2 linked regions of the Saccharomyces cerevisiae S288C genome follow. The protein of the gene in region 2 interacts with the protein of the main gene of each other region in a biochemical or structural test. Each region holds a gene or a part of one and is shown on either strand. Other genes may lie near its edges. The genes, in order: CKA2 and ELF1.

Evidence for each region.
Region 1: of the proteins of ELF1 (region 2) and CKA2, one has a biochemical effect on the other in vitro, tested with the Saccharomyces cerevisiae proteins (3 studies listed by BioGRID, with this or other methods).

The regions. Positions count from the first base shown.
Region 1 is NC_001147.6:439,531-443,355, reverse strand, and holds CKA2 (casein kinase 2 catalytic subunit CKA2), read right to left. Parts: upstream 1,823-3,825; coding exon 803-1,822; downstream 1-802. Other genes in the region: YOR062C (uncharacterized protein), read left to right, coding at 1-631; SLD7 (Sld7p), read left to right, coding at 2,193-2,966; LPL1 (putative hydrolase), read left to right, coding at 3,098-3,825. UniProt on the Saccharomyces cerevisiae protein: Catalytic subunit of a constitutively active serine/threonine-protein kinase complex that phosphorylates a large number of substrates containing acidic residues C-terminal to the phosphorylated serine or threonine.
Region 2 is NC_001143.9:151,240-154,492, reverse strand, and holds ELF1 (Elf1p), read right to left. Parts: upstream 1,225-3,253; coding exon 787-1,224; downstream 1-786. Other genes in the region: RCN1 (Rcn1p), read left to right, coding at 42-677. UniProt on the Saccharomyces cerevisiae protein: Transcription elongation factor implicated in the maintenance of proper chromatin structure in actively transcribed regions.

The sequences.
Region 1 (3,825 bases), on a different chromosome or scaffold from region 2:
GTTACCCAGTTGCTCTTCTGAAAATGAGTTTGACTATAGCATATATATGGCTAGGTTGTATCATTGTATATGGAGGAGGTGGTCCATAAAGCACTTCAATTTAGATGAATACAAAATTGATCCACTAAGCATAAACTGGAATAAAGAAATAGACGTTACTGTTCTTTACGGACCTGATCTGGTTGGAATACATGAAAGAGAGCAACCTACTCCAACGGACTTTCCTATGGGGAATATAAAGGAACAAGGGAAGCAATTATTGGATGTAAGAAAGGAGGGAAGTGCTTCTTCATTGCTGAAAAAAGGCAGCGTATTTTACTCAAAAGGTAAATGGCTCTCTCAGCGTTCAATATCATTCGATGACACTGTTCGTAGGCGAGATATTGACAAACGTGGGAGATTTCGTGAATCATGTGTTCTAATAAATGATGTAGAACAATTCCAAAACTATTCCATTGTCTGGGACGAGAGTAGACATCGCTACCGTCGGCAGGCACTTCCAGACACGTACGATTACGAGCATCTCTATCCCAATGGCGACGAAACTCCTCGGAACACGCCTCACGACAATATAATAATTCATCAAAACTTGCATAGCATTACGGAAGGCTCTTATATCTATATAAAGTGATTTTCTGGTCATATAATAATCTACATTCGTTGTTAAATAGAGTTTGCAATTTAATATTCACATTAAGGATATTCTCTAATATCAAGCTACAAAAAAGGAAAACCCCTGCTTTTTATAAATGGAAATCAGTGGTGGAAAAAGAATTGCCTTGCTAAGAGTATTGTTGTCCAATTATTCAAACTTCGTTTTGAAAAACTTATGATCCATAGCCTCCTTTGCTGTTAATCTTTCTTGATGGTCATACCTTAATAAATTGTCGATTAAATCAACCACTTCAGGAACAGCTAATTTGGTCTCGGAGGTTATAAAGTGTGTCCACGATTTTTTTGTAAAGTCTCTCATAATGTTGTCGTATTCAGATGGTAAGTGCAACCCGTACTTACCCAAATAGCCTAACAGTTCCTTGGTTCCTAGTACTGTGGCAATCTTTACCAGTTGATCTGGATTAGACGACCCTTTGAAAAAAGGTTCTTTTTTGAAGACAATAGCTGCTAGCATGCATCCTACTGACCATAAGTCTAGGGAGTAGTCATATTGGTTCAAGTTTACTAAAAGTTCTGGTCCCTTGTGGTAACGCGAAGCGACACGAACGTTGTAATCTACACCTGGATGGTAGAACTCCGCCAGGCCCCAATCGATCAGCCTTAGTTTACGTTCCGTAGGATCAATCATGACATTCTGAGGCTTTACGTCTCTGTGCATTATGCCCATGGAGTGACAGTAGTCTAACGCAATCAATAATTGCGTGAAATAATACTGGATGTCAGGAAGTTTGAATGTAGGATATAAAGTTCTGAAATCAACATTTTTGATTTCCTCAAAGATCAAAGCAGGTATTTTGGAGTCAGCGTCTTGTACTATATCATAAAGGCCAACAACATTGGGGCCGCCTGTTAGATTGGTCAGAATTTTCAACTCTCTATAAATTTTTTTCATTTTAACTGGTTTTAAAACTTTAATAACACACTTCTGGTTGTTTACAATACATCTACCGCTGAACACTTCGGAATATTTCCCTCTTCCAATTTTGTTGATAATTTCGTAATTGGAAATCTTTCCCCAATCGATGGTCACCCCTTGTTCGTAGTCCCAGTATTCTTGTGGTCTCTCCTCGCAGGCATTCTTGTACACCCTAGCTACAGAGTAGACTCTATTAGATTTCTGGTTCAATGTTGACGGAGGTAATGGCATTCTGTTTCTTCTATTCTTTTAGGTTTATTGTTCCTTCTATTTCCCTGAGACCTTACAACTCTATGATGTTTTTTTAATTACTTTTTATTTTTTAGCAATCATACAAACTCCAACAAATGTGTGTGCCCGTTGTTTCCCAATTCAGGTTAAAAAGGTTGACGATGCTTTATTCTTCTTTTTATAACTTCCACCTAGATAAGATCGTTGGAAATTTTTCGATCGTCTGTTTGCTTTGCCAGGTTCGGGCGAAAAGCGGGCTACGCAAGGAAATTTTTTTCTTTGAGGCCTGATAAAGGCCTGTTGGCAGGTAACTAAGAAATGATAGACTGCCTTGAAAGGGGACAGCATTCACCAATTCGCCTGACTTTTGATGTCACGGAAATTATGCACACTAAATTTTACTCTTAGCGGAAAGCAGGGAAGTTTGGTCATTAGGGATATCCAACTTTGGAGCAATCGACCTACAGCAAGTAAATCAACTTCAGAGTTGAGGGGACAATTCATTCAGTATGTAGATCTCGCAAAACTGCCTTTGTGGGTCCGCTCCACAAATATGAATACATATAGATGTTATAGTACCAGTGCAACCGCACAGGCTTACTTCAAATCAAAACTAAGGAACGCGAATCGTGGCATTGTCATTGAATTGTTTGACAAGGTCGATCAGCGATCGCAGGAGCCAGCATACTTGATTATATTTCGAGAGAACACAGAGTTAAACTGCTTTCAAGTGGATCTAACAATGAAGCATGAGTTTGATGGCCAGGTCACCAAATTGAAGCAAGATATTGGAAAGACAAGGGCCTCCGTATCAAAGGAAGGTAGTATTGATATAATAATACAACAATCTCAACAAAGGAAGATCGGAACGAAAACGGAAGTGTATCGCAACGTGCATATTAATGACAAACGGCTTCAATTCAATGAAACTTTGTCCAAGCTAATTTTGGGTGGCCTCCGACTTCGAGGTATTTCTAATTCTATTACAGACTATCAAAAGTTATACAAGATAACGTTTGATGCAGCTGAATTTACGCACAGGGATGAATTAAAACGCATTTCGATGGGATCTGGTGAAGAGGTTTCGTTTGAATCATTGCAGGAAACTGTGGAAACTCTTCTGAAGCTCTTTACCAAATCATGATCAACGGGGATTTTCAGTATATAAGATCAAAATGAAAAACAAAGATAATAAAGAAAGGGTGGCAACTCTTTACTGCAATAATCGGTAGAAAACTTCGTGTGATCAACCATATATATTATACAGCGCTTCAGATGACTTCGGATAAACACCTTTTTGTGCTGATTCACGGGCTATGGGGTAACTATACTCATATGGAATCTATGAGGACAATTTTATCCACTACATTAAAAAAGGAAGATGTTAACGATGATATGATATATTTTTTACCAAAGCAGAATGCCATGTTTAAGACGTTTGATGGTATCGAAATCATTGGGTACAGGACATTGATTGAAGTTTGTGAATTTATCCGAGATTATAAAGACGGGAAAATCACCAAACTAAGCGTAATGGGATATTCGCAAGGCGGATTAGTGGCCCGATTTATGATCGGTAAGATGTTGACCGAATTTAAAGAACTGTTCGAGGATATTGAACCACAATTATTCATTACAATGGCAACGCCTCATTTGGGGGTAGAGTTTTACAATCCTACGGGCATAGCATATAAAAGTGCGTTATATAGTGCGCTGAGGACCTTGGGATCTACTATTTTAGGTAAAAGCGGGAGAGAAATGTTTATCGCAAATTCTAGTAACAATATATTGGTGAAATTGAGCCAGGGTGAGTACCTTGAAGCACTCTCGCTATTTAAATGGAGGATAGCGTTTGCGAATGTCAAAAATGACCGTACGGTAGCCTTCTATACGGCGTTTATTACGGATTGCGACCCATTTATAGATTTTGACAACAAATTGAAATATACATTCGAAGAAAAGATTCCGGGATCTGGCTATAAAGGAATATTGCCTAAGATTGT
Region 2 (3,253 bases):
CAAGCAATAAACCAACCGATATATAAAACACAGAACTGCAGATGGGTAATATTATAACGGATACGATAATTATAACCTCGGATAAGTGCGACATTGTTGATAATGATAATGTTGAAAGAATCCAGGTTTGGCTATCCAAGAATATCTTAAGGAAGTTTCAAATCAATGAAAATGAACCACTACAGTTGATTATTTTGAAAAGGTTTAAAAGAATACTGTTGATCTGCCCCAGTCATGATATATCTCAGCATGTTATGGATGCGTCTCGTGCTTTAGAAATGGAAAATTTTAACTTCAGCTACTCCTTGCAAGACGGACAAAGGAATTTAACTAAACAATACTTGAAGGTACCAGAGAGTGAAAAAATGTTCCTGATATCGCCCCCAGCATCACCACCTCCCGAATTCGATTTCAGCAAATGTGAGGATGCGCCACAAAGGCATATACAAAGTCATATACAACAGGACCAGCAGCAGCGGTTGGAAGCTAGCCAACTATTGCCTAATAATCCAGACAAAAATAACAATGGTACTTTCACGTTATTGAAATCAAAGGTGGGCGCAATTACCATTGATAGATGTCCCACGAACGATGGAAATGGACAGATGCAATTAGCGGACCACGTTAAAACCGCTTTCCCACCAAAATCTATATTCGATACTGATGACGATGATTAAGATGGCGAGGCGATTTGTTGGCTTAAGAGACTTAAATGCTTACGGGTGGTTGCTTTAAAATATAAAATATATATGACCTAAGTAAATATGGTTTTTTCTCAGGACCGGATTATTCATCGTCACTATCTACCAAGGCGCCTCTGCCTCTTTTAACTTGGCCTATCCTCTCCTCGTCCGAGTCTACCTCCTCTTCATCAGAATCTATTTCGCCATCATTTTGCGTTTTAGCATCTTGCTCTGAATCACTTTCGTAATCACTATCAGAACCTTCGTCACCATCATCTGTGTCACTTCCACGGCCAGAATTGACTTCTTCGACGGCGTCAAACCAATCACTATATACATCAACAGGCTGTGATAATGAATTTATGCGCGTTTGGAACGACTGCCCACAAATCTTGCACGATAAAGTTCCTATACTATTTTTTTTGTCCAGAGTGCATGAAACTGATTTTTCATGATTACAAAATAAACAATTGAATTTCGTATCTAATTTTTGGACCAGTCTCTTGGTAGGCTTTCTTGTTGACTTCTTTCTTTTACCCATGGCTCGTTAATTGTTTTCAGTGTTTTTTATGACATTCTTCTTCATAATTCTCCCCATCTTTATTACTATTCCTTTTCCAATTATTTGTAGATTATTGCTTTACCAAAGTTTAATCATTTTAAACGTTTTTGTTTCTTCCGTTTTCAGAATTTTTACAATTTGTCACCGAAATAGCAGTTTTTGTTTAATTTTAACGCTATGGGGTAAAAATTTTGGGCCCAATTTCAACTGAAAGAAGAGATATTTTAAATATGATAAGATAATCTTATAACTACGAATTTATTATTTTGTACGTGTCATAATAAATAAGGAAGTGCCTGAAGAGCGTTAAGTAACTTTGGAATCTTCGTTATGAAAACATTGGCTATTTGTTTCAGAAAAAAGCCGTTTAAGTACTTAAAAGAATAGTTATGTTTATATAGGTATGGTGACGAGGCTCTACATAGGACTAATAATGGTGATTTCCCGTCCAGTTTGGTTTACCCTCGTACCATCAAAAGCCTACAAATTCACAGGAAAATCGAAAAAAGATCCTTTCAAAGGTATTTTTCGTCGTGGTTTATTTCCAATGTTGTCATCTTTTTGTCTAACATCTCTCCCACCGATTTTGTCTCACTAACGCGATGATTTTGAATAGGAATGTAGTTTGAACTGTGAAATCATGACAGAATAAGCATGTTACATATAAATATTGGTTACCGTATTTCTTACGCTAGCATACTTCAAGTGTCTTTTGTACTTCTTAAGTTCTTTTGTTTTTGGATAATGATTTAATGCGACACATTGAAAAGGATAATGAATTCTTGCTGGGAACCTCGAACCAAATATTGTGACCTGGAAATGTTGTGTGCAAGACACCGTGAAATCACGCAATAAGACATATCTATACCGTGACAACTCCAAAAAATCCTAAAAACGGCAATTACGTGCAGAAGAATAACGGAAGTTCAGATAGTGGAGAGAAGAATTTATTCTTGTCCCTAAAATGCCCACCAGAGCAGCACTTCTAGTAAGCACATGCATGCTCCACCGCAAATCATCATATTGACGGTATCACACTATAAAAGAATAAAACATGTTGCAAGGCATAATTACTACCGAATTGCAAAAAATTGAACACCAACTTAGCGTGGTTCTATCAGAGAACGACATATCAATTCCTCACAATGAAAAACTAACTGACTAGAATACTTCCACTTTGGTGCCGCATTTGATGAAACAGCAAATAATACCTACACTTAAGTTGAATGAAGATTTCGTTTTCTTTGAGATAGCTCGAGGACATTCACGAAAGAAAAAATTTTAAAGAACAGTTTATAAGCTCTTTTTTAGAATCCTATTCTGTTTACTTCACTGTTCACTTACTTTCGGTCCCACATCTACAAAACATCTACAACAAGAACGTGGGCGATACAGCAAAAAATCACTTGAAATAACAGAATCAAGTTTCTTATCCGATTTCCTACTTTTGAGCTCCGGCTTATGTTGAAGATGTTACTTTTCTTTGTCTCTAAGTGATCTTTATTTTTCTGGCTCCAGTGAAATTTGGTAATAGCATAGTCACTTCAACTAAAGTCTGATAGTAATACTTGCAAATATTGCAAAACTTGGAAGAATGTTAATGAATCATTTCTTGCACCATTCTTTCAATCATCTCAATCTCCTGCTGTGATGTTTAAGTATAACATTGAAGACTATGCCCTAATTTCCAATGTTATTTAGTTTTAAGCATATCTTTGTTTCTAACAGGAAACTCAGGCCCACATCCGCAAAAAAATATGTGCCAAAAAACTTTCAACACTTCAAAGATACTTACCACTGCAGGAAAATAATCTACGTGTAACGGTTTGAAAATAAATTTGACTTCATAATTGGACATAAGTACTCCATCGCCATCCCTTTTTAAAGAAGTTTCCACAAGAATGAATGGCTAATCGCAACTAAATCTTTTCCTTGCAAACGTAACACAGTATCGACATTTTCTTACTCAATCCAACGAAGGAATAACCTATCTAAAAAATAAACGCCG